Linked DNA regions of Canis lupus familiaris. The protein of the gene in region 2 purifies or fractionates together with the protein of the main gene of each other region. This does not show direct contact. Links are inferred from orthologs where the notes say so. Each region holds a gene or a part of one and is shown on either strand. Other genes may lie near its edges.

Evidence for each region.
Region 1: the proteins of WWOX (region 2) and WBP2 purify together in Homo sapiens (affinity purification with mass spectrometry; 3 studies listed by BioGRID and IntAct, with this or other methods). This does not show direct contact. The link is inferred for Canis lupus familiaris from reciprocal best matches to the Homo sapiens genes WWOX and WBP2.
Region 3: the proteins of WWOX (region 2) and ERBB4 purify together in Homo sapiens (affinity purification with western blotting; 4 studies listed by BioGRID). This does not show direct contact. The link is inferred for Canis lupus familiaris from reciprocal best matches to the Homo sapiens genes WWOX and ERBB4.
Region 4: the proteins of WWOX (region 2) and VOPP1 purify together in Homo sapiens (affinity purification with mass spectrometry; 3 studies listed by BioGRID and IntAct, with this or other methods). This does not show direct contact. The link is inferred for Canis lupus familiaris from reciprocal best matches to the Homo sapiens genes WWOX and VOPP1.
Region 5: the proteins of WWOX (region 2) and DVL2 purify together in Homo sapiens (affinity purification with mass spectrometry; 4 studies listed by BioGRID and IntAct, counting the BioPlex papers as one, with this or other methods). This does not show direct contact. The link is inferred for Canis lupus familiaris from reciprocal best matches to the Homo sapiens genes WWOX and DVL2.

Annotation. Positions count from the first base shown.
Region 1 is NC_049230.1:5,627,237-5,630,370, reverse strand, and holds part of WBP2 (WW domain-binding protein 2), read right to left. Parts: coding exon 3,080-3,134; intron 1,798-3,079; coding exon 1,662-1,797; intron 359-1,661; coding exon 266-358; intron 1-265. UniProt on the Homo sapiens protein: Acts as a transcriptional coactivator of estrogen and progesterone receptors (ESR1 and PGR) upon hormone activation. In presence of estrogen, binds to ESR1-responsive promoters. Synergizes with YAP1 to enhance PGR activity.
Region 2 is NC_049226.1:72,857,111-72,859,659, forward strand, and holds the end of WWOX (WW domain-containing oxidoreductase), read right to left. Parts: intron 1,613-2,549; coding exon 1,424-1,612; 3' UTR 1,413-1,423; exon of another isoform or gene 639-1,412; 3' UTR 511-638; downstream 1-510. UniProt on the Homo sapiens protein: Putative oxidoreductase. Acts as a tumor suppressor and plays a role in apoptosis. Required for normal bone development. May function synergistically with p53/TP53 to control genotoxic stress-induced cell death.
Region 3 is NC_049258.1:18,935,748-18,939,265, reverse strand, and holds part of ERBB4 (receptor tyrosine-protein kinase erbB-4), read left to right. Parts: intron 1-1,742; coding exon 1,743-1,889; intron 1,890-3,518. UniProt on the Homo sapiens protein: Tyrosine-protein kinase that plays an essential role as cell surface receptor for neuregulins and EGF family members and regulates development of the heart, the central nervous system and the mammary gland, gene transcription, cell proliferation, differentiation, migration and apoptosis.
Region 4 is NC_049239.1:6,497,044-6,501,029, forward strand, and holds the start of VOPP1 (vesicular, overexpressed in cancer, prosurvival protein 1), read right to left. Parts: upstream 2,819-3,986; 5' UTR 2,705-2,818; coding exon 2,651-2,704; intron 1-2,650. UniProt on the Homo sapiens protein: Increases the transcriptional activity of NFKB1 by facilitating its nuclear translocation, DNA-binding and associated apoptotic response, when overexpressed. May sequester WWOX in lysosomal vesicles and thereby regulate WWOX role as tumor suppressor.
Region 5 is NC_049226.1:32,405,988-32,409,963, forward strand, and holds the start of DVL2 (segment polarity protein dishevelled homolog DVL-2), read right to left. Parts: upstream 2,805-3,976; 5' UTR 2,762-2,804; coding exon 2,568-2,761; intron 2,480-2,567; exon of another isoform or gene 1,543-2,479; intron 867-1,542; exon of another isoform or gene 266-866; intron 82-265; coding exon 12-81; intron 1-11.

The DNA.
Region 1 (3,134 bases), on a different chromosome or scaffold from region 2:
TTATAAGGCCACAGTAAAACGTCTCGGAGTCCAAAGAGCTGTGTCAAGATGTCCTATCCAGGCTCCAGACAGGGTAACCCAGCCTCTGAGATACAGGCCACAGTGACAAGCTAATGACAAGCTTCCTTCCCAATTCCCAGCCTCGGTCGGCCCGGGGCCCAGAGACTTAGCTTAGTAACAAAAAGTAAACAAACTCAAATGAACAAACTAAAACCCACAGGTTTCCAATATATGTTTTCACCCCGCACTTTCAGAGCCGGGATACCTTGAGATGCCACCTGTAGCATCCGCTGTCCAAACTCGATGGCGCCCCCTGCCGTAAAGGTCAACTTGTATGACGCAGCGCCTTCCCAGCCACCTGGGAGGGGAACAGGGCATTACTGGCTCAGGAAAAAACACAGATTACAGCTGAAGAGATGGCTCTGTTCCCTACAGGTCTCCTTCCAGTGCCCGTGGGGAGAGGGCTGGCTCTGCAGTGCCTGCCTTCCCGCCAGGCTGCTTCTGGTGCGCTGCCCACACAGCATGTGCCCGCTGCAGGCTGGCCTGTCTTCTGCTCCTGCCTGCTTCACTCTCTCGAACAGGGGGCTTTTCTTTCTTGGAACTTGTTATCCCACCCCCAGCTGTATAAGTTCCTCAGCGAGAGCCTCCCACTCATCAATGAGGCAGCTTCCCCAGAGCAGGTTTCCTCAGCAACAAGTGACATTCAAGTTCAGAGCATCTCTCTCCTCCTGAGGGGCCTAAGGATGGGCCCCCCGCTCCTCCAGCCTGGCTTCTGCCAAAGGGGAACCATGAGTCTCTAGAGAGCAAGGCCACCTGGCTGGGTGGAAGGGGGAGGCCAAGTTTAACACAGAGGTCTCTGGTGTCTGCAGAAGAGCCTGCTGCCAAGCAGGGCCTCTCCAGGAGGCAGAGGGGCCGCTGGCTCTTCCTGGCTCTAGAAAAGACCATTCCTGAGGGACGCCTGGGTGGCTCAGTGGTTGAGCGTCTGCCTTTGGCTCGGCGTGATCCCAGGGTCCCAGGATCGGGTCCGACATTGGTTTCCCCACACAGGGCCTGCTTCTCCCTCTGCCTGTGTCTCTGCCTCTCTCTCTGTATCTCTCGTGAATAAATAAATCAAATCCTTTTTTTTTTTTTTTTAAAGATTTCATCTATTCATGAGAGACACAGAAAGAGAGAGAGGGAGAGGCAGAGACACAGGCAGAGGGAGAAACAGGCTCCATGCAGGGAGCCCGACGTGGGACTCGATCCCGGGGCTCCAGGATCACGTCCTGACCCAAAGACAAAACGCTCAACCGCTGAGCCACCCAGGCATCCCAAATAAATAAAATCTTAAAAAAAAAAAAAAAAAAAAGACCATTTCTGAGAGTCTGACACGTCGTTTCCCATACCTAGAATGTGAACATGCTCCCCGGTTACGGTAAGCATTTATTTTTCAGTCATTTGGCTGATTTCACTCTGAAAAGGTGACATGAGCTGCTTTTAATGTCAGGATTTCTTAGCTCTTGTCATTCAAAAACCCACCCCTGCTGACCAGCTCGCAGCCCAGGGTTGGGTCCTGGAAGCCAATCCAGAGCCAGGAGGAAGAGGATATCTCCGAGACAGTAGAGGTGTGCCCCAGCACCTCCCTGAGAGCCCATCTGTGGCCCTGAGCCCCCTTCACCCACCTCCTGCTTCAGCTTTCACTGTTCCCTTGATGTAGTTTGCACCAAACACAGGCTGCTTGATCTCACAGTCCTTCATCAGATAAAATGGCATCATGAAAGACTGCATGGCATCCTTTCCTTTGGACAGAAAGATAACCTGCACGGAGACAGGAAGAGAGCCTTCAGTGGCCACACCACGGCCAGCCCGCTCAATTATCACTTCCCAGCAGCCCTAGGGCACACTCTGCACCAGACACTTCCGGAGAGAGCTCTGTAAGTGAGAGGGCCTACGTGCGGCCTGGCTGGAGAGGCTGAACGTGGGTGTTCACGAGACAAACACACCACTCACAGGTCACATGAGAGGGACAGGCTGCTCTGCCGTTTAAGTGGTGGCTGTGGTACGCAAGTGAGGGGAGCTGTAAAGCTAGGGCAGGGGGGCAGGGTAGGGCAGTGCTGACTTCCAGAAGGGGGCTGGGAGGCATAGCCTGAGCTTCACAGAACAGAGTGAAGGAGAGGTAGGGGGTGTTGGGTCCCAGGAGAAGGGGGCTGCCCAAACTGCAAGTCTCCCAGCCTGCACTTGGAAAACTACGTTTTAAACCCTTCAATCTGTGACTGAAGATGCCACCAGAAAAGGGGTTTTGAGGCTCCCTTGTCTCTAAGTTGCGGTGATGAAAACCTTAAAGATATGCCGCTCTCTTCCAACCATCTTTAAATCTAACTCTTGGGACGCCTGGGTGGCTCAGTGGTGGAGCGTCTGCCTTCGGCTCAGGGTGTGATCCCGGGGTCCTGGGATCGAGTCCCATATCGGGCTCCCCGCAGGGAGCCTGCTTCTCCCTCTGCCTTTTTGTCTCTCACGAATAAATACATAAAATCTTAAAAAAAAAAAAAATCTAACTTTTGGTAGCTACAAGCAGTGAACCTTTTCTAAGAATGGCCATTTGTCTTTCTCTGGAAGACTCTCAGTCGGCCTGGCTCAGTCTCAGGCAAGGCCCATCCTGCAGTTGGGCACTTCTCGCTCTGCAGGGCTGTGCTGGGCTTTCCGCCCAGACTGGAGGCTCCGGCCATGCTACTATGTCCTGTTTTCCGTACTTGTCACTCTGGATGTGTACAAAGGCCTTGTGGGCCCTTTCTGCTCTCACAGAAATCAAGGTACAACAGCCCCCTGCTGCCCCAGGCCCCAGTCACCCCAGCTGCTGCACACAACAACATAGATTTTACAGTAGTGGTTCCAGAATTTTCATGGATTCAATGCCCAGGGGTTGGTTCAGCTGCCCACAGAGTCTGCTGATTCTAGAACCTGGGAGCACATGACAGAAACATGGGGAGGGCTGGCCACAGGTTCAGGGGCCACTGGACCCATAAGGCTGAGGCTGACATAAGACTCACATCGGCCTCCAGGAACCATGGGCTTGCAAACCCACCATCACTGTGCAACTCACCCGGTAAGGAGTAAGGTAGACGGTGCCTTTCTTGGTCCCTTTGAAGGCCTCGGGC
Region 2 (2,549 bases):
ACACACACACAATCCTACCACCTGGTATTTCCTGGCATTTCAGCAAAAGCATTCTATCAGGCCAAGGTCGACTTCCTTACATCCCTGATGGAATGGGAAAAGGGGTTAGCTGGAAAGAGACCCCAGTTGCCCCCATTCTGATGCATAGAGAGACTGTCTAGTCTCCAAGAACTTGATAATTACAGGGGGAGAAAACCACTGAGGCCCGTAAGAACCCACTAGAAGTAATAACAAAACCTCTTAAGGTGAAATTAAACGATAGTCATTTTTTTCTCTTTCTCTCTTTCTCTAACAGAAAATATGATGCTGGCATGCTAATCGCGAGAGACAACTTGGCCCACGGACAGCCACAAAGCACAAAAACAAAACAAACTCCGAGAAGAAACAAGAGCGGTGTTTTCCTGGCATCTACAAGAAGCGCTTTATTTTTCCTCTAGATTTCTTTTCTAAAAAAACAAAACAAAACAAAAAACAAAACTGAGACAAACATTTAAAGAGACAGTGCACAACTTCAGGTGATCATATTCAAGCATGTTCTTTTATTAAGCGTTGGACGGGAGGAGAGGAAGTGGAAGCGGAACGCTCGAGCAGGATGACGGGGAGGCACTGAGCCTCCACGGTCGGGATGCTTCTGGAAACTGTAAATGTAGAGTGAACGGAACAACTTTTTATCCTCTGCCCCCCAAATATCCTGTATATGCTCATGGATGCAATGCTTCCTTTCTTGCCTGCCAAGGTATCTAGGGAATGATTTGCAAAATTCGTTTGTTATCCTCTCTGAAGAATTTTTTTTGTGCAGCTTTGGCGAGGGGGTCGGTGGGCCAACCCTCTGGCGACCCACCCGCTCTGTGTATCCCACCCATTTCTAAGTGTCACCTCCCTCTTGGCTGGCTGGATCAGGGGTCTGAGAGCTCTCTCCCCTGGTCACTGCCATGCCCACTCAGACTTGGTCAGGGTGAATGACAGGATGAACACTCGCCTCTTCTTCCCTGCACAGACGAAGGCCAGCTCCTGGCTACAGTGAGGCCACGGCAGGCTGTGCTTGTGGGGGTGGCCGGGGGAGGGGGGGGGACACCTGGCTTTTTGAAACAGTGCTGCAGAATTGCTTGGGCTTCCCCTGTGAGACAAGGAACCTGCACACCACCTAAACAGGCCACCGACAGGAAAGCAAAGAGACTTGCCAGCCTCACCCAGCCCCAGAGAAGAGAGATTGTCCCCTTGGCCCTGCAATTCCCTGCTTCCCGTGGGTACTTGACATTTTTTCACTATGTTGTGACTACTCTTATTTCCTTTGCTCTGGCGGATCTGAGTCGAGGGGGGTGGGGGGGGACAGGGGGACGTGGAAAGCCCCCGGATAAGTGGTTGGCGGGGGGCCAGCGTTGGCAGCGGGGTGGGTGTGCGCGGATGCTCACCGGAGCTCCCCTTAGCCCGACTGGCCGCCAAGCCCTTCCTGGATCAGCCTCTCGCTGAGCGCCCACAGGGCCCGGGCCGTCTCTTCGCTCTGAGCCTCGGCGGACGGCATGCAGCGGCAGCAGTTGTTGAAGTACATCCCTCCCAGGCCCTCAAGCTCCGGAGCCGCAGCACAGTAGACGGTCGTGGCAGCTCCTTGTTGCTGGAAATCAAAGAAAAGAGACCCAAAAACAATTTTTTTTTTTCTTTTTAAAAGAAGTGATGAGCTGACTTCATCCTGTCTGGGGATTAGCAGACCCTGCCCCGCCTGGCCCGGAGACACCTGGATCTCGGCTCGGCAGAGGGTACCGAGCCCAGCAGGTGACCATACAAGGTGTGATGTGACCATCCTGTGAAAGCAAGTTCATCAACTTGGCTGCAACTTTTTACACCTTGTAGAGGTAAAGGCTTTGAAAATAAATACGCAGTATCAGTCACATCAAAAGTCTCTTCTGAGCAAGACGGCATCCTTTTGAACACACAAGAACAAATTCATCCAAACCGCTGACTTCTCAATGCATGATATAATCTGACACCAAGACGTTTCTAGAACCTTCTGTCTGAATTAAACCAACCACTCTGATGATGGCCCATCAGATAGAAAACCCAGAGAGGGACTGGTGCCAGACCTTTCCTTTCTTTTGTTGCCCACAGTGCTGCTAGGGGACGAGTCTGCAGTGCTGTGTGACACTGTGCTGTGTTAAGACACACATATACATGTACTCCATGCCATGTACATACATGCCTCATGCAGACACCGGATACGCGTGTTAATTCATCCAGATCCTGTGCAAACCTGTTTGTAAATGTCGTAGTCACCCTGTATTTGCAATGGGACAGTGACTAAGGGGGTACATTTCCTCCCAGCCCACTTCAAATTGTAAGTTGCAAAGAGTGCGATTGATTACTTTCGATTCACCTTTTGAGTAACAGTTGGTGCTGTGGCTAGGGATGTGTGTGCCGGTGGGGCACCATATCATCCCGCTGACACAATGCTGTCAGGGATGCCGTAAAGAGGGCAAGAAATCACTTTGCTTTGCAAGCCATAATTAAAAATAATAGGCTGGTGTTCATGGGGAGACATGGTAGGCACGCCTCTA
Region 3 (3,518 bases), on a different chromosome or scaffold from region 2:
TAGATAGATAGATAGATAGATAGATAAATACTCTGCTTTGAAACATAGCCCAGGTCATCAACCCATATCTATAAGGCATTTTAAGATTTTTATGATATATCATAGTTGATTGCAAAAGGTATACAAGGCAAAGAGAAACACAATATTTAAAATGCACCTTTGTGGCAAATTGCCACTGGATGCATCTTTATTTTTATAAAAATAAATATGTATTAGCTATGGTTTATAGGTTCAAATGACAGAATTGTAAGTTTTGAGGATGTTTCTGGTTCAGTTTTTCTGAGATTGTCCCTCTGCATGAAGCCATCTCTGTTTAACCCTATCTTGCGTTCATTCCTGCAAGGATAGAGTTGGATTGCTCTTGGCAGAGGTGGGGGTTTTGCTGTTCCTGCTTTTGTTTTTGTATTTATGTGTTTATTATATTTTCCATCATTTTGATTTGTAATTGGATTGCATTTTGTTTATATTGGAAGTTCTGATAGAGATGTGAGTGTCTATTCTTTTATAACTGCATATATAAGTTAACAAAATATCCTCATCAAATACATGTTCTGTAAATATGTATTTATATTGACTGACTGAATATAGATGGACAGCCATCCACTTCTTAACTTGTTCCAGCCTGTCTCATGGACACTGAATTTTAATTATTGGTTCTACAGAGCCATTCCTTAATGTGCAAAATTAAGTAGGATTTAAACAAGATCAAACACTTAAATTGTGTCACTAGTTACATTTTTACATTATATTTAAAACTCATAAGATTTAAAAAATAATAAGCAAAATCAGGTAACCATGGCAATAATTAGGTAATAAGGATATTATAAAGTATAATTTGAAGATCACATATACTTTTATATTTTAAGCTTTGTATTTTTATTAGTAGTCAATGATAAGTATTATGAGCTAAAAAAAGACTTCAGTTTGAATAAATAATTATTACAGATGGAAGTAAAAAAAACATAGTCCTAATTAATGGATTTTACATAAAAATATGCTTTGTATGCTATGTGAACCAATCAAAATTCATTGGTAAAACTCTTACACACAGCTATTTCTGAATGTACAAGCCTACCCTTAAGAAATGGTGACTTTTTAATTGTATAATTATGAGATCATAAAGAGGAGTATAGGGTATATTTTCTTGTTCAAATTAGAATCATTATATTTTTAAGCATTTTATTTATTCATGAGAGAGAGAGGCAGAGACACAGGGAGAGGGAGAAGCAGGCTCCATGCAGGGAGCCGGACATGGGATTTGATCCCCGGTCTCCAGGATCACACCCTGGGCCAAAGGTAATGCTAAACCGCTGAGCCACCCGGGCTGCCTTCATTAAAAATTTCAAGACAATAATATGATAGTAGAATTTCCCATAAAGATTTTGTCATTGGGCTTCTTCTAATGGACATAGAAATCTGAAGAGCCTTTCTTTAGACTATTTTTTTAAATTTATTTATGTATTTGAGAGAGAGAGTAGAGGAGGAGGGCAGAGTCTTAAGCAGATGCCACATTGAGTGAGCACAGATCCTGATGCGGGGCTCAATCCCACCATCCTGAGATGACAACCTCAGCCAAAGCCAAGAGTCTGAATGCTTAATGGATTGTGTCACCCAAGCGCCCTCCCTCTTTAGACTATTTTTGACTGCCTTTCTAAGGAGCTTTCTTTTGTCACTGGCATACAGCTGGTTTCTTCGAAGAGTGTTGTTAATATGCTTATGTAAATATTTGATCTCCAATTTAGGAGTCACTATATGGGAACTGATGACATTTGGAGGAAAACCCTACGATGGAATTCCAACCCGAGAAATCCCTGATTTATTAGAGAAAGGAGAACGTTTGCCGCAGCCTCCTATCTGCACTATTGACGTTTACATGGTCATGGTCAAATGTAAGATTGCAAAATAATTTTATCATCACCATCATCATGCTTAGTAAAGTAATAGTATGGATTAATCTACCTGCATAATGTTTTTTGATATTGAAAAATATGAAAGTTCAAAATAATTATGAAAAAAGATCATGTAAACACCTGTGTTTGTGTGCTTATTGTTAATAGGAAGCAATATGCGTGCTTCCACGTTATAAAGTCAAAATTTTATGACTCTTCCTCTTCTGATTCATTTCACTTTGAATCTTATCATTTCCATGACAATCAAATTGTCTTTCATAAAGAGATGTAATTAGTCACAATAATGTTAGTCATCTTTATAGGAAAATAGCAGTCTAAACAAATGGTTTAAATACAAAGGGAGAAAGCTTGAAACTGATAGTTTAAAAAAATGAATTAAATGGAAATAGGTTTACCAATTTTAGTCAACAGGAAATTAGCAGAGCAGAATGGGAAATGGAAAGACGTGAATCTACAGTGAAAAAGATTATGAATGCTTACTTTTTTCGATTTGATCATTTGTTTACATCAAATGCTCTTTTCTTCCTCCTTTCTATGCCCCAGACACATATGTATTATAAATGTGTTTTGGCAGCCTAGGCTCTTAATTTAAATAGAATTAGAGAAGTCTCTGGAGTTTCCTACTTAATTTAAGTGAGATTAACATTCAGCAATCTTTCTTGTGTAATCTGGGGTTTTCCCCTTTTGATTTACACAGGGTTAGCAAAGAAACAAACTGGTGAAGGTGAATAAGCATCTTATTAATAAGAGACTTTGGACCCAGATCCACTCAGATTTATATTCATGACATGTGTGATACATTCTGACAGTAAGGAAGAAATAAAAAATGTGCTTTCCAGTTCAGGTCAGCATGCCCTTTTCTCTAAGCATAGTTCTATTTACTCAATATTTAGTTAGAAAGATACTGATACCTCCCGGCGAAGTTAACCTTTTTTGATTCCAATAGTTCCAGAAATACCTATTTTCTCATTAGCATTTTTTTTTGTAAGTGAATGCATATAGTTGAGCTTTGTTAAGAGAGAAAAAATGCAGGTGATACTAATGATACATGAAATGACACACACAGACTTCCCAGAACAAGAATAAAAATTGAACTCCTGGAAAAGGGAAACAAACCTTATAGCTTTATTGGATCAAACATCATTCAGGAGTCATCTATGGAAGGAACTTTAAAAACATGCATGCATTATATAATTTGATCTCATAACTAGCATCAGAGGTAATTTAAAATACTTTGTTTAGATACTCTGATGAAACAATGAAAAAAATCAGGAAAATATTTTGCCTAATAGAGTTTTACCTTGCTTTTGTGAATTTTAATACTTAAGAAGACAGTCATTTGGCAAGAAAATCAAGGAAAGCTTGGTGCTTTAATTTTTGTGATCTCACCAGCTAAACAGTGCCTGGGGAGATGGGACCCACTTTATCTAGAGTCCCAGCTAAATAATAATACATACCTTGAAAATTGCTGATAGTATTTTTATGCTGCAAAGGCTAGTACTTAGATAAGCTAATGGCTATTGCTGAACAAGCATTACCCATAACTTTGCATTTTCTTTTTCCCCACCAGGAAAGAGGTGGCACAAGAAAGTTGCTTTTTCTTCCTTT
Region 4 (3,986 bases), on a different chromosome or scaffold from region 2:
CTGTTGATGGGTGCCTGCCATGCAGGCAGGTATTAGGAGCCCCCCATTTCATTTTCCTAAGTGTCACAGTTGAACAGTACAGTATATGGTTCCCCTAAGGAAGTGGAGGGAGTTCCTAGAACATATTTTGCTAGTTTACCTGTTTCATGGAACACATATCTCTCTAAGCCCACCTCTGGTTTCAGGACATACTATGTGCAAATTCTTCCCATGTCTAAAGCCAGCAGTGCAGCATGGTGAGGTGGAGCCCGACTACCTGGGTTTATGTCCCAAGTCCTTCACATTTAACAGCAGTGAGACTGTGGACAAGTTCTTTATAACATCTTCCATTTGAAATAAAAATGAGAATAAAAGTAATGGCTGAGCTACTATTTGTAATCAGTTAATATTTGTAAAGTGCTTAGAACAGTGCTTGACACAGGGTAAGCACTCTATAAATGTCTGATAAGTAAAAAACAAATATGCAGTCTTTGTGTCTCCTAGGTAAGTGAATTTCTATAAAGAGATGGTGAGATGGGAGGAAAGCCCTTCTCAGAACAGTTTCTAGTTTCCCCCTCTACTCAGAGGCCTCTTGCCGGAATAAATAAAACCTCTCTGCCCGGTCCTGGGTGCTGGCTGGGAAGAGAGTGCTGCGGGGCTGGAACAGAATAACCGCTGCCAGCTAGTATATAATCAACCACACTACAACTACAATTGAACCGGGGCAAGCAGAACAAAGAAACAGAGGCAACTATCCCGGGTTGCAGGTGGCCGTCAGAGGCCACCGAAGGGCCCCATCAATAGTTTTATGTGCTTAACGTAAAGAGAACCCTTTGCCTCCTCACATACTTGGCCACTGTGATTGCCCACTTATGTATGTGATTCAGGACTTCAATAGCATCAAAGATGCTCTGACAACAGCCAATTTTAGATGAAAACATCTCAGCATCTATTTCACGGATAAAATCCCATGTGATGAAATACAAAAAAAAAAAAAATCTCCTTAATTCCTCAGACACCTCTCCACCAGAAACAAAATAGGTGCTTAGGACAATCTTGTAAAAGTGAGCTACACCACACGATCCCATTAAAGACAAAAATTACCAGTTATCTAGCTATTTGACTTGTGAAAGCACCAGCCCAGTCATTTCAGTTTCCCTGCTGTCACAGTTGTGCCTTTGAGATCGTGTCAACTTTCCAGACATGATCTGAACACCCTATTAAGATGATAAATTCCTATGCAACAAAACAGCTTCGTTGGAAAGAACTGGGTCCCTGAAGCAGTCTTGACTACATAACAGGGCACAGCACCACATACACTGAAGACCTAGAGGAAGCCAGGCAGTGGGATATAAAATTTTATCAAGAGCTGATTTTAAAAGGGGATTGGGAGGGGGCCTTGCATTCATAAGTACAGATGCATTGGGTTTTAGGTAAACAGTTGTCTCAGACTCACTTCTCCATAGCTCTGTCTGGTGCGTCACGGCCGGGATGTGATCTCTAAGGTCTTAAAATTCTGACCAAATGCAAAGAATGCAAGCGAAGAGGCACCCCGCAAAAAAACATATATCAAGCCAGAGGGATATTAAGAACAAAATAAACAAAAATAAAAAGTCAGCCTGGCGCAAGAAGCTTTTCCATCAACCTCCCTTCCTAGTGCCAAGAACAAGCTCCCTCCCAACATTCCCTGATAATTATTTTTTAATCAGCTAAGAAAGCCAAGTCACTTCCAGCACAGACACCCAATATTAAAGAGTTCTCCAACCCTCTGGAATGGAAAAGACAGAAAGGGGCGTCAGCGTTCACCACCCATTTAACTCCGATGTCATTGATTTAAGGCAAATTTCCTCCAAAACAATGCAGCTGAGCAGGGAGTTGCGTGAACCCTAATCCAGACTCCACACCCCAGAGGATCCTATCAGCTCACATTGCAAAGAACCTGCTTGAGCAAAGACGGGGAGCCCCCCCCCACCTCGGGGGCGCGACCTTCCAGGCCCGGGGCGCGCGGGGTGGGCGGGGGCGAGGGCACGAGGGGCGCTCCCACCCTCCCCCGCGGCGAGTCCCCCCCCAGGCTCCAGCGAACCGCGCCCAGCACCCAAGTCTCCGAGGGATTTCTCGCCGGGACCTGAAGCCCGCGCTCCACCTGACCCCACGTCCCGGGGCGGCGGCGGCCCAGGGCCCGGGGCGCGGCGCCCGCGGGGTCGCACCTGCACCGCCGGCCGCCGAGCCGCCCCACCCCGCAGCCTCCAGCCTCCAGCCCCGCCCGCGCCTGCACCGCCCCCGGCCCCCGGCCCCCGGCCCCCGGGCACCACCCCGCGGGCACCACCCCGCGCTCCTCGGCGGCGCTCGCGGTGCGAGGCTCAAAGGCCACACCTGGGTCTCCCCGGCCGCCGCGAGCAGCCCCGCAGCGCGGGGGAAGGGCCGTGGGGGAGACGGGCAGGGGCGCGGGCGGGGAGGCCCGGGAGCCGGGGCAGGCCGGAGGGGCCGTCGGGCGCCCGCACACGCAGGTCCGCGAGGCCGCCCGCCGCCGCCCGCCGCCGCCCGCCTCTCGGGTCCGCACAGGTGGTCCTCGGGGCGTCCGCGCCCCGCACCCGCGCAGCCCGGCATTGTTCGCGCTCGGCGGCGCAGCTGCGAGGCGCCCGGGGCGGCGCGGCCCGGCCTCGGCCCCTACCTCCACGAGCAGCCCGAGCAGCAGCGCCGCCACCCTCCGGGGCAGGCGGCCCATGGCTCCGGGTCCTCTCCGGGGTGCGCTGCTGTCGGGGCGCGGGCGCAGGTCAGCAGCGCGGGCCCGAGCGGTGAGCGCCACAGCGGAGCAGCGGCGGGGCTCAGGCCGCGGACGGCGGGGCTGCGGGGCGCGGGGCGGCGGGCGGGCGGGTGGGCGCGGAGCCTGGTGGCGCCGTGCAGCCCTCGCCGCGCAGCCCCGGCCGCGCCCCGCCCCCCCCCCGGCCCCGCCCCGCCCCGCCCCGCCCCCCGCGCTCCGGGCTCCGGGCTCCACCCCCGCGCGCTCCCGGCTCCGCCCTCGCCCCGCCCCCGCGCCCCGCCCCCGGCCCCGCCCCGCCCTCCTGGGCGCGCGCCCGCGGGCACCGGCTCCCAGCCCGCGCCGCCCTCCCGAGCCGAGCCGGGGGCCCCGAGGCCCGGCGAGCCGGGGACGAGCTGGCGGGTGGCTCGGGCCCCGGCGGAGCCCGCCCTGTCACCTTTGAATAGACCCGGCAAGATCGCTGAAGGAGGCGAAGTCTTCGCGTGGGGGAGCCCGTTTGGGGGGCGCTGTCGGTGGACCCGCAGCATCCCCGGCCTCCGTGCGTCGCTCTCCCGCCGATTCCCACCAACCGCGGGCGCCCCGGGGACGGCCTGGGGCGAGGGCGACAGGCCGTGACTAAAGGGCTCCTTGCACCGCGCCCCCGGTGTAGATGCCGGTGCTTCGAGCTCTGCGTCCTCCTCCCGGCCCGGCCTACACCCCGCCACAGGTGGCCCCACGGTGGCCGGGTCTGGGATGTCCTCGGGCTCTGCTGCAGCCCCTCCCCACCTCCACTACCTCCCACCCACCACCCACCGTATTGTTTTCACCGCGTGAGTCAGATCCCAAGTCCTCGGGGCAGTCATTCAACAAGCATTCGTGTGAACCTGTGAGATGGACAGACCCCGAGCTGGAGGGCCAGGTACGGAGGTGGGCAAGAAAACTTAATTCATGACGTTTAAAGGGATCGTCGCTTGCAGGGCGCTGAGCGGCGGGACCCAGGCTCAAGGGTGACCGAGGAGCAGAAAGGACGGGAGCCTCCCCGTGACTGGACGTAGAGGAGGGAGTCATGGAAACACACAGCACCTAAGACTAGTCCCTGACGCTTTCTGGTCTTCGTCACGTGTACTCATCTGATGACTTTAACATATGCAGCACTGGACTGTCCCTGTTAGAACCAAAACTTGCAAGACGAGCAGGAAAGATGACTGTGGGCTTTATCGTCACGGTAAGGGCACCCATCAGACAGGCCCACCAAGAGTCTTTGGACTCT
Region 5 (3,976 bases), about 40 Mb from region 2:
GGGCTGCTTACCCAGGACACCACCCTCCCGTTGAAGCAGGGAAGGCGGGCGTTGTCATCTGAAATCTCCTCCTTCACCACCCTGCCAGGAGGGACAACACAAGAACCAGTGAGATCGCCCTAGCGCCCCCCACACGCACCCCGACTCGAGGCTTCTCATCTTCGTCCAGCTCAAGGACGATGACTTTCATGCAGCCGGCCAGGCCCTCTTCCCCAACACCGAGACACTTCACTCTCATGCCCCGGGAGTCTCCAAATTCACTCACCCCCTTTCCTTCCTCCTCCTCCTCTCCCCAGCTCATCCTCGGCTTTCAATGCTGGTCCAAAGATTTCCTATGCTGGTCCAAAGATTTCCTAGAGTCTGAGTCAAACCTCATTCTCCAATCTCAACGACCGTCCCACTCCCTCAGGTGACCCCAACTGCCCCAAAGATCTCTAACCTTTGGTGTCTCTAACAGCCCAGAATGACCCCAAACCTCCCTGAGCCCTACCCCGCTCCTCAAGGCACCGTCCCCAAACCCTCCAAAGTCTCTATTCTCATGCTTTCTTGGTTTTCTCTGAGTCATGTCCAAAGCCCTAGCCCAACATGCTACCTTTCCCCCACGAAAATATACCCATGAGACCCAAGGATGACACCTACTGGCTAGGCTGAGCACTCCCAAGGAGAGGTGAAGCCCACCTTCCCCTTCCCCCGGGGCTCATCTGGCACAAAATTCTACACTGAGCAACCTGTTCTGCCTGACGGACCTCAAAGCCCAGCCTTGGGGTCATTCCTCCCCTGGGTTCCTTGGGATGGACAGGACTTTGCCCCTTCTTCTCAACCACCACGTGGGATCACCACAGCCTATTCTTTTTTTTTCTTTTTTCTTTTTTTTTTTTTTTAATTTTTATTTATTTATGATAGTCACAGAGAGAGAGAGAGAGAGAGGCAGAGACATAGGCAGAGGGAGAAGCAGGCTCCATGCACCGGGAGCCTGATGTGGGATTCGATCCCGGGTCTCCAGGATCGCGCCCTGGGCCAAAGGCAGGCGCCAAACCGCTGCGCCACCCAGGGATCCCACCACAGCCTATTCTGTTCAACACTGCATCCTGGCCACACAGCAAAGACCCTGATGGTGGTAAAGTGAATGTTAATAAATATCTGTTCAATACTGTTAACGAGTATACTTGTTGAACAAGTATCTCATGAACAAACACGAGCTCTGAGAGACTGAGTATTGAACAGAAGGTCTCTCTCATACTCACATCCTCACCTCCAAATTAGGACAGCCTGTCTGATTAACCCTTTACCCTAATATGGTTCTAGGAGCCTGGATGCGTGACAACTTAATCCCACTTGTTATCGATAGGGCCACTCAGCCCAATCCCTACCACTGCTCTGTCTCGATATAATGCTGGATTCTTAGAGATGTAACCCAGTCCCGGCGGAGCCCAGCCCGGCAAATGATTCCACTCTCTATCACCATAACCCCGTTTACAGATTAGCTGAGCTCGACGCTAGCGATCATCACAACTCGCTAAAAAATTACTGTGCATCGCTTACCTATACGAAGTTTCTTGTGCCAACTGTGTCTATCTCCTGGGTCATATCATTGCTAACAAACAGGAATTTCGATCTAAATCAAAGGTAACTCCCAACACAGTCCCACCTTCCTCACGGCCAACGGTCTTTCTCAGTAGAAGCCAGTCCATTCAGCTATCCCAGAACATGGGCTGTCTCAGGCCAATCCAGCCTGCCTTCAAGAGCTGAGGCTGGCTACCTGGAGAACTCAGCCTCAAAAACCATAAGCAAATTTATTATTAAGAATCCAAGTCTGGCCCAGAATGACTCCAAACACTCCAGAATAGCCATATTGGGCTATTTTAGCAATGACCTACAACGTCTCCACACGCAGCCGTCCATACCAATATAGACCAGATTATCCCAATACAGCTGTCTGCACTGGCATAGCCTCAAAAACCTTGTCTGCCTCTCTACAGAGCGTCCCCATGAAACACTTGACCCCAACAGAAACTTAAGATCAACCAACACAACCCAGAAGAGACAGAAGAGCAGGAAATTCTTCCGAGAGAGCCTGGTAATCTGCTCCAAAGCAGCCTAGAACATCCCAACACACCCTTTTCTGCACCAGAACAGGCCAGATGTCCCCAAACAATCTTATCTGCTCTAGGATGGTCTAGAATGCCCTAAAGCACCCCAACACGGCCCAATCATCGGGAGATTCCACAATACTGCCCGTGGGCCGCAGGACTGCTCGAAAGGCATCGGATTACCCAGAATAACTCCCAAATAAACCAGTGTGCCCCATTCTATTCCAGGACAGCCTAATCTTTCCTGATCTGGTTCGGCACGGCCCGGTGTGTCGTCCTGGAGCTCCGTGCGTCTCGATTTGTCCAAGCGTAACCTTACCCAACCTGGGATGCCCAATCTAACCCCCGCATAATGCCCTGTCCAGCACTCCAGCCCAGAAAAACCCAGCGTGGCCTAGGGCCGACCTGTGCCCCTCAGCAGTGGCCGATCCACCGCCGCGCAGCCCCCACCGGTTCCAGCCTAGGCCTCGCGCTCACCCGAAATCCTGATCCATAGACTTGAAAAAGTACTTAGCGCCCGCGGGCCGCTGCAGGACGCTCTTGAAATCACCGAGGGTGATGCGCTCCGCCGGAACCGGGATCTTCACCAGGTAGGGAGTCTCCTCCTCATCCAGGTGGTAAATCACCTTCGTCTCCCCGACGCCGCCGCCCCCCGCGCCGCTGCCCGCCATGGTCTCGCCCGCGCGCTCCCAGGTCCCGCCGCCCACCCAACCGGGCGAAGCGCCCCCACCGCGCCTGCGCACACCCGCACCCCGCCGCGCGAGCGCGGACACGATCAGCCGGGCGCCGGAAAGGCGCGGCGGGAAGGCGGCGGGGATCAGCGGGGTGGCGGCCGACGGAAGGGAAGGGGGCGGGCCGGAGGGCTCGACCCGATGCCGCAGACTCGGCCGCCGTCGCCGCCGCCACCGCGCGCCACCGCCGCCGACGTCGCGGGCGCCCTGCAGCACCCCGCCCACCTCTCCCCATGTCACGTGGTCCGCGGCGGCCCGCCCTCCGTCACGTGACTCCACCGACCACGTGACCTACAGGCTCCGCCCAGTGCCAGCGCCACGTGATCATTGCTTTCAGCAACGGTCTCCTAGCCCTCGACGGCCCCGCCCCCAAATGTGTCCCCACCCGCGTCCTCCGAGCACCCCGGCGGAGGCCGGCACTGGCCTTCGGGGGGCCTGGCCACCGGTACCCATCCCGTTTGGCCCCACTCGGGCGGAGAGCTCCAAACAACGCTGATTCCCTGGAGCGTGCGTGTTGGGAGATAGGATGGGGGTCCTGGGCTGGGGTGCCCGGTGGAAGCAAGCCGACTGAGGGCCAGGCTGGGGGCGGGGGTCTGGGGAGCTGGGGGGTGGGGGCGCGCAGAGCCGGGTGGTTTTCTGCTCTGGAGGTGGGCTTCAGCCCCCCGCGCCTTCTGCTTTTCCACCGCGCCCCCACCCAAGCAGGACAGTCAGGGAGGGCTATAAACACAAAAGAGCCCACTCTGCTTTATTTACAACACGCAGGCTGTCTGTACAAACAGCTGGCCAATATTATTAAAAACAAAAGAGGTGAGCGAACATATCGTCACCTGTTTTCCTTCCTCCCTTGGCCAGACCCTGGTTGGTACTCCACCTCCGAGCTGCCCTGCCCAAAAGGGGAAGTCCAAAATTAAAAATACAACCGGTGTAGAATAAATGGGGAGATAAAAGAAAAGATGAAGAAGGGGAGTGCTCTATTTACACTAGAGTTTTATAGCCAGCTGTCCCATTCCACCCCAATTCCAACCCTGGCCCAGAAAGCGAAGGGTGGCAGGTCTAAGGAACAGAAATTATGTGTCTAGGGACCAGCCTCTCACCCCCAACTGCAGCAGGTCCATATTCAAGTCCACAAGGCGGGAAGGAAAGATAAGGTTGGAA